5 linked regions of the Nothobranchius furzeri genome follow. The protein of the gene in region 2 purifies or fractionates together with the protein of the main gene of each other region. This does not show direct contact. Links are inferred from orthologs where the notes say so. Each region holds a gene or a part of one and is shown on either strand. Other genes may lie near its edges. The genes, in order: exoc7, exoc6b, exoc1, exoc3 and exoc8.

What was found.
Region 1: the proteins of exoc6b (region 2) and exoc7 purify together in Homo sapiens (affinity purification with mass spectrometry; 3 studies listed by BioGRID and IntAct, with this or other methods). This does not show direct contact. The link is inferred for Nothobranchius furzeri from reciprocal best matches to the Homo sapiens genes EXOC6B and EXOC7.
Region 3: the proteins of exoc6b (region 2) and exoc1 purify together in Homo sapiens (affinity purification with mass spectrometry; 3 studies listed by BioGRID and IntAct, counting the BioPlex papers as one, with this or other methods). This does not show direct contact. The link is inferred for Nothobranchius furzeri from reciprocal best matches to the Homo sapiens genes EXOC6B and EXOC1.
Region 4: the proteins of exoc6b (region 2) and exoc3 purify together in Homo sapiens (affinity purification with mass spectrometry; 3 studies listed by BioGRID and IntAct, counting the BioPlex papers as one, with this or other methods). This does not show direct contact. The link is inferred for Nothobranchius furzeri from reciprocal best matches to the Homo sapiens genes EXOC6B and EXOC3.
Region 5: the proteins of exoc6b (region 2) and exoc8 purify together in Homo sapiens (affinity purification with mass spectrometry; 3 studies listed by BioGRID and IntAct, counting the BioPlex papers as one, with this or other methods). This does not show direct contact. The link is inferred for Nothobranchius furzeri from reciprocal best matches to the Homo sapiens genes EXOC6B and EXOC8.

The regions. Positions count from the first base shown.
Region 1 is NC_091756.1:53,828,724-53,832,237, reverse strand, and holds part of exoc7 (exocyst complex component 7), read left to right. Parts: intron 1-779; coding exon 780-1,002; intron 1,003-1,441; coding exon 1,442-1,609; intron 1,610-2,242; coding exon 2,243-2,254; intron 2,255-3,514. UniProt on the Homo sapiens protein: Component of the exocyst complex involved in the docking of exocytic vesicles with fusion sites on the plasma membrane.
Region 2 is NC_091742.1:85,092,785-85,096,791, reverse strand, and holds the start of exoc6b (exocyst complex component 6B), read right to left. Parts: upstream 2,813-4,007; 5' UTR 2,590-2,812; coding exon 2,501-2,589; intron 1-2,500. UniProt on the Homo sapiens protein: Component of the exocyst complex involved in the docking of exocytic vesicles with fusion sites on the plasma membrane.
Region 3 is NC_091748.1:40,500,142-40,504,229, reverse strand, and holds the start of exoc1 (exocyst complex component 1), read right to left. Parts: upstream 2,808-4,088; 5' UTR 2,715-2,807; intron 1,974-2,714; 5' UTR 1,963-1,973; coding exon 1,839-1,962; intron 1,773-1,838; coding exon 1,642-1,772; intron 1,555-1,641; coding exon 1,395-1,554; intron 1,112-1,394; coding exon 1,094-1,111; intron 495-1,093; coding exon 307-494; intron 1-306.
Region 4 is NC_091751.1:65,605,341-65,608,854, reverse strand, and holds part of exoc3 (exocyst complex component 3), read left to right. Parts: intron 1-1,508; coding exon 1,509-1,631; intron 1,632-2,480; coding exon 2,481-2,642; intron 2,643-3,514. UniProt on the Homo sapiens protein: Component of the exocyst complex involved in the docking of exocytic vesicles with fusion sites on the plasma membrane.
Region 5 is NC_091742.1:10,762,568-10,766,517, reverse strand, and holds the start of exoc8 (exocyst complex component 8), read right to left. Parts: upstream 2,810-3,950; 5' UTR 2,661-2,809; coding exon 1,511-2,660; intron 1,348-1,510; coding exon 1,094-1,347; intron 951-1,093; coding exon 702-950; intron 587-701; coding exon 182-586; 3' UTR 1-181. Other genes in the region: DNA-dependent metalloprotease SPRTN, read left to right, coding at 3,487-3,818. UniProt on the Homo sapiens protein: Component of the exocyst complex involved in the docking of exocytic vesicles with fusion sites on the plasma membrane.

The sequences.
Region 1 (3,514 bases), on a different chromosome or scaffold from region 2:
AGTTATGGAGAAAAAAAGAAAAAAGAAAAAAAAAACACCGAAAAAGAAGCACAACAGCATGACCAGCCACATTACCGTCCTGGGTTAACCCTGTTTTCTTCATTCTTATACTTATTTAAAATTAGGTTTTTATATTTTACTTTAAACTGGTTTGTTTTTACTTTCTTTTATCTCTTCTGTTGGACTGTTCCATAATTTAACTCCTGCAATTGCAATTGACCTAGTTTTTAAAGTTGTTCTAGCACTTTGTATTTTTAAATTCAATTTCCCTCTTAAGTTATACCCACCTTCTCTTTGTTTGAACAATAAACAGATTTCTTTTGGAAGCAATTTATTTCTTACTTTATTTACAATTTAACACCAGCAGTGACTTTCCACTCCCATTATTACCTGTTCAAGTGAAAACATCAATAAAACGACTGAACAAGAACATAGTGACAATATAAATAACAGTAACCATCTATCATTTTAGTCATTTGTAATAATTTACATGAAAACAACTATTAGTATTTAAATTATTTATTTATTTTACATTTAATTGGGTTTTTGGGGCCCATTTCAGGACCACAAACTTGGTGTTTCACGACCCACAGTAAGGTCGCGACCCCAACTTTGAGAACCACCGTTTTACTGTTTGCACAAATTGACTAGGGCAGGGTACAGAGGATGTAATGGTCAGAGCTAAGAGTCGAAGCAAAGCTTAATATTGACAGTAAATCACATAATGGTACCTTTAACTTGTTCATTACGAGATAACAGCTTGGATATTATTTCTGCAGAAAGCTCGTTTTGAGAAGGGTAAAGAGCTGCTGGAGGCCGAATTTCGGAGCCTTCTGAACCGCTACAGTAAACCCGTCCCCCCAATTCTCATCCTGGACGTTATCAGTGTTGATGAAGACATGGAGCTGCAGGAGGAGGTGTTGCTAGAGCACCTGCCTGAGGCTGTCCTCCAGGATATCATCTGCATCGCCAGCTGGCTGGTGGAATATGGACGCAACCAGGGTATGACTAGTTTTAGAGGTGTCTTACGTCTCACTATTTATGAATATTTGGTCCTAAAACTTTTTGGGTTAAACCTGTGGAGTCCTCATCATTGTTTTGGTTCCATAAGTCCAACAAATTGTCTTCAGTCTCTGGGCAGATTTTACACACCAGCTGTTCCTGAAGGTTGATTTTCTTTTATGGTTCATTAATCACAGCTTCCAGGGTAATCATCATGCAATAGGAGGTGGTTCAGGTTGTAGTCCATAACCACCGGTAGGTGTGGGCCATGTCGGGACCAGGAGGAGACCATGGTGGAATCATTATTAGCTGAAATAGTTAAAATACAGAAAATACTTTTCCCCTTATAGAAGCCCATTATCTCTGAGCTAAGTGTTGTCAGACTGTGAGGTATTTAGACACTTCTCTCCCGAACCATCTCTTCTTCTCCTGTCTTCAGATTTCATGAACGTCTACTACCAGATCAGGTCCAGTCAGCTGGATCGCTCCATCAAAGGCCTGAAGGACCACTTCCGTAAGAACAGTGCCTCCTCTGGGATCCTCTACTCTCCTGCTGTCCAAACCAAACGGAAGGACACGCCCACCAAAAAGATTCCAAAGAGACCAGGTCAGCAGCAGATTCCTCTGAGCTTTTGTCTTCATGACCTTTACGCCTTTAGCTGGACCCAGCAAACAAGTCCGAACCTGTTAGATGTCAGAATCTGATTTCCATCCAGCCACGGTCCTCTGAGGATTTGTCAGAGACTCCCTGAGCTTCAGAGATCCTGTCTCTGGTTTTAAATATCTTAGGTGTGTTCTTGCTGTGCGTTATTTCTAATTCCATGTTGTCGTTCTTTTTAAAACACAGAACCAGTTTAGTTTACCTGTTTTGTAGCTACGTTTCGCCGACGGCTGCCGGCTTCTTCAGGCTGACGCTGATGGTGGCGCGTCACTTCCTTCTCCGTTTATCTGCGGGCTGCGCTGGACCACGCACGGGACTGCATCGTCGGAGAGGGGAGAGCGGGCAGTAGAGGGCGACAACATCCTCTGCTGCCCGCAGATAAACGGAGAAGGAAGTGACGCGCCACCATCAGCGTCAGCCTGAAGAAGCCGGCAGCCGTCGGCGAAACGTAGCTACAAAACAGGTAAACAAAACTGGTTCTGTGTTTGAAAAAGAACGACAACATGGGACCTGGTTTTAAATGTTCTAACCATCCTTCATCCTTTCCTCTTCATAATCCCTGTGTTCCGATGACATCAGTCTACATCCCAGGTAAATGCAAAGCTTCAGTGTGAGCACTGTGCTTCCTGCTGTCCGCCTGACGCCACGCTTCGCCTCCATGTCAGTTCGGTTTTCGCTCAGCTGTGTCTGACAGGTCGTTTTCAGCGTGAAGGCCTTTAGCTTCATGGTGTGGAAAATGTCTCATACCGAAAAGGTGAAGCTGATTAAAAGTAATGAGGCTCGTTGCTGTTCCAGACAAACACCCTGGAGTTCCGGCTCACTTTACGGAGACGGGATCCCTAACCCCCAAATTCCACTACCTCCGCTCCGGTCCGTCCCCGCCTTCCGCAGCCGCTCGCTTCCGAACTCAATTTTTCTTGGTACCCGCTCTACAACGGCTCCGCTCCGGTGCGGAGACCTGAGGTGGGCAAACAAGCGTGCGCAGGATTTTCGAGATCTTGCGATACAGTCCGAGCAATAAACGCGGAAGTTTAGATCCAAACACCCGTTGTGTGGGAGAAGCATCGACAAGAACTGCTTAATCTGCCCATCATTTGTGTTGAGAGATCAGCAGTGTTTGGATCAACAAAGTGTGACTACTTTGACAGTAGAAACTGTATTTATGGCTTACTTTTGTGCATTTAAACTTCAGCTGCCATTGATAGTTGTTAAAAGTTGTTAAACCTGTGCATATGAAACAAAAAACGCCTTTTGTTTATCGATTTATTGTGAAAAACGGAAGTTGTGCTTGCTCCTTTTCCTGTTGGGCGGTTGTGATTTCTGTCCATTTAATGCGGAGGTGCTCCGGCGTCCGGCAAAAATAGGATCGATTCTATTTTTGCCGGACGCCGGAACAGAGGGCGGCGCACGGCGCCGCACTGCTGGAGCACGGCCGCAGTAGTGGAATTGCTCTGATTGACTACAACGGGACCGATTTTGCTCCGGCGTTCGTGTCGGAGCGGAGCGGAGGTAGTGGAATTTGGGGGTAAAGGTCTTCTGCTGTGGAGGGTTTCAGTTTGTCTAGATTGGTTGTTGTAGTTTAAATCAGGAACCAGTTCTTGACATGTACTGGTGAAGAGGTTTGTGTGTCAAGGCGGTTCAGAAGCGTTTCTAACTATTGTTTATTCCTAGTCAAGCTGTGATGAAGTCTTGATAAAAAGTACATTGCTTAAACGTAACAGAATGTCAGTTGTTTAGCAGCCTGTTGTTGAATTAACTCACATTTAATGCAAACGTCTCAAAAAACATTTGATTAGCAAAATCCTGAGTGAAAGGAGCAACTTTCCAGACTTACTTCCTGGTGAACCTTCA
Region 2 (4,007 bases):
GCTCCGCAGTAGCAGAGCGCTGCAGGCACAAATAAGACAGAAAATAGAGAACATGTGCAGACATGAACGATCGTGTACTAATTATGGTTTTTTGGTTGCGCCACTTTGAGAATGGACCGTGCGCTGGAAGCAGCTGCCTGGATCGCTGCGCAACAATGCGCTGTGCCGCTCTCTGCTCAAAAGAGTCCAAAAATGATATAATATAGAAAACTTTTTTCCGGTTCCCCTGGATGTGTAGGATATACAGCTCCCCCATAATTCGATCCCTGCTCCTGGATGAAAAGCCGGACATTTTCATCAATACAAGAACCCGCAGTCCGGACGCGCCGGACAGAGAGTGAAAAGTGGACACGTCCGGGGAAAACGGAACGTACGGTCACCATAGTCCTCATAAAGCTGGAAATTATACAGTATTTTGCTCGTGCCCTGGGCAATTGCCCAGTTAATCCGGCCTTGGGCGGAACCGGTTCGCAGCAGCGCGAGTCCCGCCGCTCATCTAATAAGCGTCGCGCTCACGACTTTAGACTCTTTTTTTTAGGAGCTTAGGGCATGTCTAGCCTGTGTAATAATCCGGGACTTGGATGAATCACTTTTGAAAAGTTTTTAATTTACCCGGACACAGAGTTCTCTCCTTCCTCGCTGATGATCCCGACATGCTTGCGTTTAAGACGCTGCATCATCCCGTGCCATGCCAAGTCTGACCTAAACGTTGCAGGTAACGAATGTCTTCGCCTGATTTAACTGAAAATGCTCCCAAACTTAAAAAGCTTTTACTTTTTTGACTCTCGCTGCTTCTGCTATGTTCCTCTTCCAAACACCTGCCGGCTCTCCCTCGCGCTGATCTGTCTGCGCGCAACGGCGGGCGGGAAGGGGGGACGCTTTTGGAAGAGTTGTGCGACACAACGAATCGATGACGCAATTCGTTGCCAACGCTTTTAGTAATCGATTTTCATCGAATTTATCGATTCGTTGTTGCAGCCCTACTTGGAGCCCCCACCACCTCACTCCCTGCTCAGTTAATTTAAGATGGCAGCGTGCTGAGAGTACAGATTGTTGTTGCTTTTATTTAATAAACAATCATTTTAAAGCACTGTTATTATATCTGACTGTTTTTAACAGCAATCCTAGCTCAGACACCACATCACTTTCCACATATATGTCATGAGCTCACTGAGCGCAGATTACCAGATTCATATGGAAGTTGTTTTGGTGAAAGTAACTTAAAGTAATGCAAAAGTAGTGTAATGCCTTACATTTTAAAATCAGTAATATGGTAATGTAATGAATTACTTTAAAATGAGGACAAGTAATAAATAATGCATTAAAGTTTTGAAGTAACTTGCCCAACATGTTGTGTGTTGACTTATGTACGGCCCGCCGTGTGTGTGTGCGTGCGTGTGTGTGTGAACCATGTTTAGTAGGAAGGGCATGACTCTGCATGTCATCATTTAGTGTTTATAGGTCAAAAAAGGTCCCCATTAGACGTGCTGTCACTTCTTAGGATGACCAGAAAATAGCCGCCACATGGGGGTGGTTAAAGAGAGAAACAAACATCTGCAAAAACACAAACACACCTTCGATTAGCCTTCAATAGCCCAGTCCCTCCGCTGCATTTCCTTTTCCATCCACGGCCCGTTTCCTCTTAGAGACAATAGCAAAGACCAAGAGCAGTCTCTCGGTAAATTTCCATTTCTGAGATGGATTTCTAAATAAAGCCGACTCACACGTATCTAATTTTAAAAATGGCACGCTGCTGTGGTGTAAAGTGTTCGTGTGCCAAGCCTTACCATGAAGGGCTGAGCAGAAACAGGGCTGCGACCAAATGCAGAAGAAATAACGCTGCATCAATTACAGGCTTCTGCTAAAAGCCACCAGTTACAACCAGCAGCTAATGTCACGTCTTCGGTTTGAAAAAGAGACAGAAGGAAACCCTCTCGTTCACAAAGAGAACTCTCTGAGTCTAAACAAGCAGGGATTGTAAAGGCAGCTGCATTTGAGGCTCCCTGATTTAGCGTATAGATTTGTCGTTACTAACATAACGAGAAATACTAAATTGTGTTGAAATCCGCTTCAAAATGCTGACCCGAGTCATAAACCCGGGAGACATATGAGTGAAAAAGCACTGAGCTAATTTTAACAGCCTCGTTCCCCAACAGGAGCAGAATGACAATTGGTTAGCAAAGGAAGCTAATGCTAGCCAAAGCGATTAAAATACCTGTGGATGTGTTACTAAAGTTTAGTGACAAAGCCTGTAGGACAGTGGTGAATTAAAGACATTAAGTCAGTCCAGTCGGTCAGTAGCTTCTGTTTAAGGTTTTTAACACCAGGTTCTGAGATGTGTTCCACCCAGCTTTGATGTTTGCTAAAGTTAGCCGGCTAGCTGTCCGATAATGGACGCATCTATGTTAAAGTTTTGAGAGAGCTCTGGAAGAGGAGTGACGCCAACGGCTAGACTGTCTCCCCGCTGCTGGAAGGGGACATCCTCCGGGGTGTTACTTACCGGAGGGTCGGTCCGATACAGTTGGTCTCGGTGCTCTCGATTTCCCGCAGTATGCGTTCGTGTTCGGCGGCTGTCTCTACAATCGCCATCCTGCATGTTGCTCAGAACGGTTCCGAGCAGCGACGAGCAGAGCGACGGGGAGGAGGAAGGGCAGGGTTGGTTCGATATTTTCACTGAGCAGCCCGAAGGAGCGGAGTTTATGTCAAATTAAAATATTATGAATAATCAGTTCAGTGTTAATCTTCTGAATAGTAAGGGACTTTAAAATCTACAAACATTGCAAATAAAAATAAATTACTTAAGATTAACTAGTTACTGATGAGTAGATTATCCCGAGCGGTTTTCTGGTTTTAAACCCAACTAACTCATTAACATGCGCCACAGATCCTAATAATGAGAATACTGTATTTGTTATAATTAATATAACTAGAAATAAACAGTTGACTAGTTTTGGACCATATCTATAATATTTGGCTCAATATTTCATGGGTTAAGTGGACACTTTTTGTCTTCTTTGACCCAGCTCTCACCCTGGATTCTCATGTCAGTTCTCTTGTTCTGCTCTTCCTTCTTCCATCTCAGGAACATTGCTAGGCTGAGTCCCATTCTGTCCCGCTCTGAACTTGAGACAGTTCTCCACACCTTCATCTCCTCACGCTTAGACTACTGTAACTCTCTTTTCACGTGTCTGAGCAGAACCTCCCTGAACCGTGGTTCAGAATGCCTGTGCTCGGCTTCTGACCAAGTCCTCCAAACACACCCACATCATCCCGCTTCTCCTCCAGCTTCACTGGCTGGCAGTCAACTTCAGGGTTCATTTCAAGATCCTGGTTCTGGCCTTACACGGACAAGCACCATCTTCCATTGGTGAACTTCTTAGTCCCTACACCCCCAGCAGGTCCCTGAGGTCCAGTGATCAAAGCCTACTGGCTGTGCAGCACCAGGCTAAAGACCAAAGGTGACAGATCATCTGCTGCTGTGGCCCCCAGACTCTGGACCTCTCTCCCCCTGAGCCTGAGATCAGTGGACTCCTTTAAAAAGCAGCTGAAGACTCACTTGTTCAGGCTGACCTTCTCTCTCTTTATTCTGCTCTCCCCACCTATTCTACCTTCCTCAGGATCCACTGATTTCCCTCTTTCCTATTCACTCTCTCTCTTTCTTAACATTTTTTATCACAATTGTCTATTTTTTGTTCATTTAAATATATTTTAACAACTTTCTAAATTCTTTTTTATATTTTTACATTTTTTGTTTTTGTGAAGCGCCTCGTGATTTTTACCTTGAGAGGCGCTATTGAAATATTTTCTTCTTCTTCTTCTTCTTCTTCTTCTTTATTTACAATCAAGAGTGTATAAACTCATAAACTGGTATTTTGGTATTCTCCCCCTAATCTTTTGATTTGTTCAGAATCAGGATTTTTTTAACCAACAACTGTTTAATTTCAGCCGAGGATAGACGATTTTTTTGACAGCTAACTTCAGCTAATGTTAAAACGATTATTTTGGGT
Region 3 (4,088 bases), on a different chromosome or scaffold from region 2:
TGGGAACCGGAGAAGCATCTGCCATGACGACGGATTATGAAAGAACAGATAACTCTAGAAACACGCGGATCCGTCCTGATGTGGGAAGTGAGTCTACCCTTTGTTTTGGTGATCTTGGAGTTGATTTCATCATTGAGCACAACGTTCTGTGACTCTTCAAAAAACCGTTAAAACGCTCAAAACCACTGGCAGCGAGAGGCTTTTCTGATCCGGAAACTGCTGGCAGTTAATACGTTAATGATTTGGGTTTTCTGAGAAACTAGCAAAAAAAAAAAAAAAGAGAGCGTCAGTGACTGCTTCGCTCACCCCGTCTAAAACTTGCAGCTCCTTGAAGAGCTTCTCTGCAAAAGCTTCGGCGTTAGAGATCGCGTACTCGCACGTCTCCATCATGCTCTCAATGTCCTGCTCCTCACGAGTGCTGAGCTCTTGGTAGTCATCCAGGGCATCCTCGTCGCCTCCGGCAACACTCTGGCTCTCACCGCTCGGCACCGACTCTAAGTCCATGAAAATAAGTGAAATTAGGAATACAGATGATAATACCAGAAGCACTGCCATTGTTGTCAGATTATTTTTTATTATTTCTTTGATTTAAATAAATAGAATCAAAGGTATTTAGAGTTTAAAGAAATGCTACTAAAGGCCGTAAAATCTCATTTATTACCGACATCTGATGATAATGTAGCAGGGATATGAACACAAAATGAAAACCAATCTCAGGCAGTGGCATGAGGTCAAAAAGCACATACATGAGCTAAATTTTATTTAGTGTTTATTATTAGACTATGACTATTTTAATACATAACATGTAGAAGAGGTGAGCATAAACTATGTGTACAGTGCACTAATGCCACAAAAAAATTAAGTCATGACTTAATGTGGAATAGATAGAATAGCTGAACAACCTAAGTTTGTGTTACAGTTGATGTTATAATTATCATTAGTATTATTATGTCCTCCATGTTTAATTACATGATTTAAATCACAGGAAATGCAGGAAAACTAGAATCTTTGATGAAAATGGTGGCTTGGGGTCATGAACAGTATAATGAAGAGGTAGGAGGAGGGATCAAGCGGAAAGTTTATTCCTACCAACCTTCAGCTTTAGGAAGCTCTGGCCACAGAAAGATCAAGAGAAAAAGAGTGAGAATAAAAAAAGAACTTAACAAAGAAAACTACTGACACAAACCAACATACAAAGAAGAGGCTTTCAGTTTTAAAAACATGCTACCTGTAAATAAAATCTACCAAATTATGGAGGTATACACATTACACATGCAAAAGGTTGTAGAGTTGTAGAGCTTGAGGGGAAAAGATGCATCTTTAAAGAATTACAATTAAGTTATAGTAAGGAGCATGCAGACTCTGAGCTGGCTGAAGTTTTAGCATTTACCCACCTTCAAGGAGCTGAGAGTTGACGTTGACAAACTCCAACTTCTTCCTTAGATAACGCTGGTTCAGCTTCCAGATACAGGAAATGAAGGAGTTTTTTTCAGCTGTGCTGCTAGCCAACCATCGGTAAACCTTCTCAAAATGAAGATCAAACTCTGGGTTTTCCTACAACGTAAACAGAGCATGCATCAGTCCTAACTGCAGAGTGCTGAACCAATAGGGGACGCCATGACAGACCGTGTGACCTCTAACCTTGCTTGCATCTTTGGCATCTACTACTGTCAGGTCTCGGAGCTCCCAGGTCTGCTGTCTCTTATAAAAGTCCCCCTTGTCAGATTTCTTCACCTTAACCACTTTAACCTGGACTGGCCTCTCTGTGGTAACTGGAAAAAAAGTCCTTTTATCATGAATGTTCTTTACAGGAGCTTCCGCAGCTTTCACACACATACCTGTAGCACACAAGAAGCAGTTTTTCTTTTTCTTTCCCGCCTTGCAGACATTAACTATGCCGAGAAGACGCTCGTCGTTGGGTGTGAAGATGTCCCTCTGGAGAGCGTGCTTTATGGCTGTCATGGTGGATCGTACTGTCATACAGAACAGAACAAGTCATGAATCTGATCAACGCAAGACGTATCTAGTGTTCGGTTCGTGATTTCCAGTTAACAATAAAACACATATTCAGAGTAGGAACTCAGAATGAAGTGGGGAGGGGGGGGGGGGCGGATGAGTGATTCAAACACCACCAACATTACAGAGAGCGAGGCCCTTCAGAGAACACAAGAACCAAACTTCAAAAATATCAGACGTTTCACGGAAAAACATTTAGAGATTCAGCAAAAAATCCCTAAAAGTTATATCAAGTCTTGATTTTTTTCCTTTGCTATCGAAAAATTCTTTAGTCGTTTATTTAACCCAATTTGACAGTTTTTAGCAGCACAGGAAAAGGTTACTGACTGGTGCTTTTGCAGACTGCACTGTTTACTGTTTAACGTATACATAAAGCCGGAGATTGAATCTGAGAGACTATCGTAGTAAATGTTTCTATTAAGCAATAACAAGCTACCAAACCCCGAATTAAAGGGTTCTGAAGCAACTTAGGTCGTGTATGTGGTACAGAATCAGCACTAGTTCCTATAAAAACGTTGTCCTCTCTCCGGTTAGATATTAGTCCTAGGCTAGCATTGCTAAGCTATCGACGATCAGCAAAAACTGCCCAACGTGCATTGTAGCTACATTCACAAATGACTCTACATTGCGTGTTTAGATATCGTAATCAAAATATTCTATAAATATTGAAAATAGTATAGATTTTACGTAGCATTTACCTTATTTTCATCCGCTGCAGCCCTTCAAAGCACCGCCCTCTCACTTCCTGCTTCTCGGCCACAGCTGTCATGTGACAACCCAAAGGCCACGCCCACTGGAAATACTAAACCCATTTTAATGATAGTTTTTTTTAAAAGTTATTGGTCATTTTCAGTAATGTGCGAAATTCTTGGAACGAATTTAACTTATTTAAAGCAGTAACTGAACAACGTGTAAGAGCCAACCCTGAACTGAATCTATTGCTGCTAGGAGCCAGGTCAGTGCTTCTGTGCACTACTACACCTTTACAGTTACAAGTTACTTCTGACACCTTAACATGGGCCTCTGTTTACATTTAGATTAATTTGACTCAATAATTTACTTGATATTTTAGATATATTATTACCATGTTTACTTTTATACTTTCACATTATGCGCCTGAATGCGTGTATGTGTGTGTGTGTGTGTGTGTGTGTGCGTGCGTACGTGCGTGCGTGCGTGTGTTAGATGATGTTGCCCCTTTAAAAAAGAAGGTAATTAGGGATAGGCGGTTGGCTCCCTGGTTTGATTTTCATTTACGAACTTTAAAACAAAACTCTAGAAAATTGGAGAGAACACGGTGCTCTACACACCAGGAGGAGTCCTACTTATCCTGGAAAAATAGTCTTGTGCTTTATAAAAATAAGCTTCGACAAGCTAGAACTGCTTATTTTTCAGCGCTAATTGAGGAGAATAAGAATAATCCAAAATTTATTTTCAGTACAGTTGCCAAACTTACACAAAATCATAACTCTGAACCATCGATTCACTCAGCAGTAACAACTTTATGGAATTTTTCACAAGTAAAATTAATTCCATTAGAAACAAAATCTTTAGCATCCTCCCTAATGTGATTTCTTCTTCCTCAGTAAGTGAGGCAGCATCAGAGGTAACTGTAGAACCTCATCTGTGTTTGAACCGTTTTGATCCAGTTGAGCTTTCAGAGTTATCAAAAATATTAGCTTCATCTAACTTCAACTTGCAATTTAGATCCAATCCCAACCAAATTATTTAAAAATGCAATTCCTTTGGTTACTGCCCCCTTTCTAGGTATAATCAGTCTATCCTTAGTAAATGGGTATGTACCACAGGATTTTAAGGTTGCTGTAATCTAACCTTCACTTAAGAAGCCTTCTCTGGATCCAGATGACCCAATGAATTATAGACCAATATCTAACCTTCCATTTTTATCCAAAGTCCTGGAGAAAATAGTGGCCATCCAAGTATGTGAGCATTTAAACACCAATGCTCTGTTTGAGGAATTTCAGTCTGGTTTTAGAGAGTATCACAGCACTGAAACTGTATTAGTGAAAGTTACAAATGATATTCTCATGGCCCCAGATAAGAATCTCAAT
Region 4 (3,514 bases), on a different chromosome or scaffold from region 2:
TTGTAAAGTATGAAAATAAAGTTTACACAACCATCTCATGGGCCGGATTTAACCCGCTTGCGGGCCAGATCCGGCCCGCGGGCCGCATGTTTGACACCCCTGACCTAGACTCTGATCCCAGCCAACAGACTGCTTGCAGCTGAAAGGAAGACTCGGTTCAAACCCAAACACATCTTTTAGTCACCTGCAGCTCATGTATTGCTCAGGTTAATGACTCTAAAATGACTGGCCTAAACCTCTTGGAGTGGGATAACAAGTAACCAGCATCTCACCTTTTTGGTTACACGACACCAACGGAGACCCCAGGCACCCAAAATCCTTTTAAGTTTCTTACAGTAAGAAACCAAGGTTTTTATTTAATAGGATGAAAAAAGATGAATCCAAACAGAATCACCCCAACGCAGCGGGTAAGAAAAAACACAGAGCTCCACCGAACTCGTACAGAACTCTCCCAGAACTCAGAACTCTCCTGGGCCCCCCTTTTTATTACTTTACTTCCCCCTCCTTCTTGTCTCCTCTTCGTCTCCATGACAACTCCCGCTTCAGGAAGCACTCTGCTCAGCCTTGTGACTCCTCCCAGCGTCTCTTGCTTGGTGTTCTTCAGGCTTGTGGTCATCAATCGACAGGGCGAGGCGAGCCTTCCTTGTCTTCTCCAGGGGTCTGCTTAAGCCAACCATAAGCATATCCCAGACGCAGCGTCTACCCTGAATCTTTATTGCATTCTGGACTAACCCCACAGAGGTCAGTAAAAGGCTAAAGCCACAACATATATTCACCAAAAACAGCAGAGTCGTGAAGCACATCCATTATTTACGACATTAGGAGATCAGGAGTCAAATCACACACACACATTCACCCACACACAGCCTTTCTTTGACCTCCCAGCCTGGTTTTATTAACACACAGATCGAGAGGTAATCCAGAACTGCTTTCTTTTAATACGCAGGTCTGGAATCAAAAATCTTTGTTCAACAGGTTCAAAGCGTTCCGATGATGGCAACTGGACTTCTTTGGTTTCTTGATGACGTTTTGCTTCTCATTTAAGGAGCTTTGTCAATTCTGACTGGAATATGGGAGGATTAGACTTATAAGCTGTAGCTGTAGCTGTCTGTTGTTGCTGGCGGGAAAAATGTTAGCTGACACACCTGGCGCTGCAGTCTGGCTCCAGCACGTTTCCTGCATGTTTTAGATCATGAAGACAACTGGTTTGTTTAATTTAGTGATGAATCACTTCTGTAGACACTAAGGGCCATTAGATACTTGCTGTTTGACAATGCAAACGTGTGTTTAAAATGGCTGCCACGTGTTACTCGCGTTGATTTAAAGCGTCATTTGTGTGTGTCCCCCCGAAATTAATACAACACGTCCGAACGCTGCAATATACGAGTAACCAGTAGGTAGGGATGTCCCGACACAACTTTTTCACTTCCGATACGATGCCGATATTGAAGCCTTCAGTTTCCTTTCTAGTTTCCTTTTCTGATGAATTTTGATAATGTTTCCAACAGCATCACCTGAGCGAACTGTTGACCAGGAAGTGGCTGACGGGTTCTCATGCAGTTGATACTATCTGCGTCACAGTGGAGGACTACTTCAATGACTTCAACAAAATTAAAAAACCGTTCAATCAGGTGAGACGAGACAGAATCACTATCTGCAAGAAACATTCAAAAGAGATTTTTCAACTGTTTTATGTGAAATGTTTATTCCCTCTGACATTTGACCAACCAAACCCATTTCTGTAGGTGTGACGGTGGTGCAGTGGATCAAAAAACTCAGTTTAGGTCACATCACGGTTTTCAGTCACGGATTGGATCAGTTTTCAGATCAGCAGAAAGAAAAAGAAAAGACAAATAGCTCGTCTCTCTTTATTTATTAGAACACTTGTGCAACATTTTTCTGCTCAATTTGCAACCTGCTATAAAAATAGGAATTACAGAGAGGTCAGATTGCTGATTAAATGTCAAAACAGCTTGCCATTTAAGACACGCCCATTCCCTGCGTTTCCTGCTTTCACTAATTCCCTCACCCTTTTGAAGCACTATTTGTATTCTTTCCTCGTCTTTTACAGATATTTATAGGTCCAACCTCGTTAATGTAATAATTGGCCCAGCATTTTGCATGCCCCCCCCCCCCCCCTTCTGTTTCACAGCAATTGGAGGTACGTCTGCGCTGCGCTGTCAGACTGGAGGCATGTGCGTGTGTGTTCGTTTATGCAGTTTGCATCATCATCGTTTTTTACAGGGAAACCAAAATGCTTTCATACATGAGACGATGCAGGTGGTTTTTCAAGCACCTCTTCTCCTCCGCCATGACCACCGCTGTGCTTTCTTGTTTGGATTGAACAGGTGGCTCCTCGGCCCTTCACGTGTCTCCTCGGACCATGTGCATGCCGAACCGTGGAGTGAGATTCGTGCGGATCAGGGATGATCCGTTGCACCCCTAGATAGAACTAACCTGCTGGACTGTGTTCTGTGTAGGAGATGACCAACGAGGCCCATCGTAGGGTGGTGGTAGAGTACATCAAAGCAGTCATGCAGAAGAGAATCACTTTTAAAAATGCCGATGAGAGGAAAGAAGGAGCCGAAAGGATGATCAAAGAAGCTGATCAGTTCAAATTCCTCTTCAAGAAACTGGCAGCGGTGAGTTTTTACCTGCTGCTGTTTGTTGTTCCATAGTACATGTGGCTGTGCGTGCCCTGTGGTTAAATCTGCTGCTATAGATGAGATTTGAATATATTAAATATGGGAGTAAGGTGGCTGGTGTGCTGTTGAAGAAGACATTCAGATCTAGAAAGTCTAGAAAAACCACCTCTAGGGAAAGGAAAACTGTGTTCATCAACCCTGAACCTGCAACTTTTGTTCATGCTTTTTGAGTTTAAGGACCAGACCTATTCTCTTGTGCTTCTAAGGTTTAGGGTAGGGTTAGATCATGTCCAGCTAAGGACTCAGAAAAAAAAACAACTTCAGAGATAGGAAAAGCTGTAGAAAAAAAACAATAAATGGTCAACATCAGATCAGTGACGCTGTAAGCTCAGGTTGTTGCATGTAGGCTATGCTCTAATTTTGTTTTGTGAAAAAATGTGATTGACAGATTTGAAATGAATGGCTGTGTAAAATAGAAATGAGCTCAATAGAGACCAGGATCCGATTGTGGGGAGCTACTCCAATAAAGATCATTAAAACAGAGCAGTAGTTATTCATTCATTCACAATAAAAAGTAAAAGGAGCCAGCTGAGCACCAAATACATCCAGCACTTCTGATTTTCTATTACATAGCAACTCTGGGTGTTGTAAATGGAGGTGAGATGAGGCAGAATGTTTGAATCATTTGGAATGCACCTATACATTTTTTAGAGTCAAATTTTGGCCCTTCTCTGACAGGACTAAAGTATCCTCTTCCTTCATGTTGTATTCGTCTACTAGAAACTTCAAAACTTAATAGAAACATGCAATGCACATGTTTGTTTATTTGTTTATTTATACATTTATATTTTGGGATGATGAGAAGCACT
Region 5 (3,950 bases), about 74 Mb from region 2:
ACTGACTCTTTCATTTTACCATCATTTCCTTCCTGCAGCATCTAAACACCCAGTAGTTAGTGTTGTGGATCGGGTCTGAGGGGGGAGGTGAAATGACAGGGAGGGAAGGGGGGAGTGGCCACCGGCCGCCGTTTCAGTCTCACGCGGTTTGTTAAACGAGCCGTCGAAGCTCCTGTCGGCCTCAGACTAAGGATGTGGTGCTCTCTGGGTTGATCCGCACCGGCCTCGTGCTCTTCCTCAGGTCCCGCAGCTGTTTGGCCGGTTTCCCCACACCCTCCTCAAACCGCCGCTCCACCACTGGCAGCACGGTGTCGTGGAGGAAGGTGGCGTTCTGCAGGACGAAAGCCTTCTTCTCGGGGTCCTGCTCACAGCGCAGGCTGTAGTCGACGTGCTGCACGGCCACCAGGATGATCTCCCTCAGGCTCTCCAGCAGCACCATGTGCAGCTCGGGGAAGTAGAGCTTCAGACCCTCTTCCAGGAAGCTCATCATCTGCTTGGTGAAGGCCACGATGGTGTAGCTCAAGTTCACCCAGCAGTCATCGCCCGTGTACTGCTGGAAACTAATCCCACAGCTACGCATCTCATCCTGCAAGACGAAGAGAAAAGCCTTAGATGCTGCTCAACACCCGCATTTTCTTTAGTTTTCTTCTTCAAACAAAAGAAACAAACACAAAATTGGGAATTAAGGAAGGCTGTTCGACCTTGAGCTTAGTTAAAGCCTCAGGGGTCATCAAGTTCATCCTCCTCCACATCTCCTCAGAGTTCCGGTGTTTTGTGGCCTCAATGATGATGTTCTTGTAGCTCAGCAGGGCTGCCTTGACGTCTTTGACCAGCAGCGACTGCAGCGTGAACGTCTGATCCAGGCCGATCTCCGTCAGCTGCTGACAGTGCTCCTTGGCCACTTTAACGCACTCTGCTGCTGTCGACAGGCTCTCCTTGCTGTCAAACACCTGGAAAACAGAAAATTGGCCGTTTTGAATCATTTTCTGAAATAATTGGAACAATAATTGATCTTGATTTTTTTTTTATCAAGAATAATGATCGAAACATATTTCTTGACTCATGTTAGGGACATCGCTGAGCCTCTGCTGACCTGTTTGCTAAACGCGTCCACAAACATCGTCATGGCCGATCTGGACCAGACCACAAAGGCAGAGTAGCAGCCCGTGTTCCCCGCAAAGTCCGTCTCAAACTCCTTGGCAGTTTCCAGCAGGCTGGTGAAGAAAATGTTGCAGAGTTTGTGGATGTAGAGCAGCGTGGCTCCTTCGATGCGGAGCTGCCGGATGGCCGTCTGGACAGCCGCGGCGCGGTTCTTCAGGAACAGCTCGCAAGCCTTGGTGGACTGACCTGAAACACAGAAATGACATCATCAACTGTTGGAAATATAACTTTAAATTGTTACAGGCATGGATTCTCCAAGGACTACTCTGGCTTTGTGTTGAAATGTTTACTGGTTTTGGGAAATCAACATTTTAATGGTCTGTGAGATCTTATTAATACAAATAAAGACCTAATCTGATGAGCTGGGACACGGCCCGCCGGGTCGCTTTAGGTCCACCACGAAGCGACCGATCAGGAGACAGCTCAAACACCAAGACCTCAGTCAGCTGCCGCACACGCTCATCCACCTTCGCCTTCAGCTCTTTCACCGTCTGGGTCGCAGGCTGGTCTTTGAGATACTCGTTCAGCTTGTCCAGCAGGTCCACTGCACCCTCAAAGTCTCTCTGAGCGATGCACACATCCAGGTCCTCGGGCAGCTCCTGGATCCACTCGAGACTGAGGTCCACACTCTCCTCGGCATCTGCCGGCTCGTCGTCATCCACATCAAAAGGGTTGTTGGACACTTCGGCTCGCACGGGAGAGGTGGGGACCTCCTCCTCTTTCTTGTGTTTGTCCTGGGAGGCTTTCTTTTTCTTGGTTTCATCCAGGATCTCCAGCCACTCCTTCTTGACTTTGCTGTTTTCCACCTGGAAGATGCGGCTGTCTGGGAACATGAGAATCTTGAACATGTCCTTCATGGGAGGGTTGTCCTTTACGTTGACCACAGCAAAGCTCTCCAGATCATACAGGGCATTGTATTTATACTTCACTGTGCCTCTGCGGTTAGGCAGCCAGGTGGCAATCAACAGGCAGTCATTCATCAGGAAAGCATGAGCCTTCTGGATGGGGGACATGTTGTCCACATCAAACTCCACGAGGTCTCCATTGTAGACCAGGTGTCTCCCTGGGGTGTCCATGATGTTTTTAGCTCCTTCCACCTTCTCCAGCAGTGAGGTGAGAGTCCTCTGCTTCAGGTCCTCTGTCTCTTTGGGGAACGCTGCCTGCATCTCTTTGGAGGTCTCGTCCTTGTCTGTGGACAGTAAGGCCTGAGTGATGCTCTCCATGATGCTCTTCTGCTCGGTGAGGATGTGGCTCAGCTGGTACATCTCGCTCTCCAGGAAGGAGATCTCCTTGGCCGTTTCGATGAACTGTCTGTAGTTCTTGTACACGTTCTTCTTGAGGTTTTGGGCCGTTTCATCAGCCAGAGTTTGAATTTTCTGACGATGCTCCTGAAGGTCTCTGTCGCCATCCGACTGCTGTGACAGCTGCTTGACGTAGTTCTGTGGATCGAAGTTGGGCGATTCCAGCAGCTTCCGAAGTCGGTTCCCGGTTTCCGACATCTTTGGTTGTCTGCGTGTTTCCTTATTAAGCAAAACTGTTAACAAACTGACGAGAAACGCAAACAGAGAACGAGCGCCTTCATATCCACGTCAACAAACACAGGAAGCTGAAAACAGGTCAACACCCCAAAAGGATCTGGCTTCTCCAACACCCGGGTTGTCAACGTCACATGAACGTCACGAGAAGGGAGAACAAAAAGGATGATCAACAAAAACTCAGAACAAAATTGTTATTGATCTTTCAGGTAAACCAAACAATGTTTTATTTTTATTTTAAAGCTTCTGTTTATTTATTTACTCATTTTGCTTTTTGTGTGTTGTTATTTTGCAGTTGTTACTGATTACTGGGCTATTGAACAACACCCGGAATAGGTGTTTTGTTGTCCAACTATTTACCTACCGGAAGTTTACGGTAGCTGCAGAAACATTACAGATTTTCAACAGCGTTTAAACAAGCTAATTTTAGTCATCTGCTGATTAAAATAAGATACAAAACTAAGCGGGGAAAGCCAAATCAAACACGAAATTAAGTTTGAAGTAGTTTTTTATTTAGAAGTTCATACGGAAAGAGACTCGTTGTAATGTAGTACATGTAGCAAACCTGCTGTTTGGCGCGAGCTGTGGACAGACCGACTATTATTACAGATACCTTTGGCTGACAAGAAGATGAGATTCATCTTTCAAAGTCATGACTTCAGTCCTTTTACCGATGTTTCTCTGAAAGGTTGATTTTATAATTAGGCTGCAGACGTCGTTTGTTCCAGAACTTCGTGCTATTTACATTAGCAAGTCAGCTAACAAGCTAGCACAGCTGCCTTCTGATGTCATGGATGCGGATTTCCTGCTTGCCATTAAATTACAGGAGCAGTTCGATAATGAGTACGAGACGTCATTAACCTCATCAAATAGATTCGAGGATAATTACTTCGAACAAAGCAGTAAGAGACGGAAAGTGGAAGCAGCCGGAGGTGGCAGCGCTGCTGTCCCCTCCTGGAAGCCGGGTCACGAGCCTGAGAAACCCCTGAGCATCGTGGATGAGTCCTGGGAGATGCTGGACCCAAACCCAGATGTGAGGGCCATGTTTCTGGAGTTTAATAGCCTGTTCTTCTGGGGGAAACTGAGCGGAGTCGAGGTGAAGTGGAGCCCCAGAATGACACTGTAAGTTTTGTTTGTTCACCAGATTTCCTACAGCAGGGATGTTTATAAACACTGTTGGCTTTACTGGGATTCAAATATGGTAGCCACAAAGCGCGAGATGCTTGGAAAAACATCATTATTGAAGAAAAATAA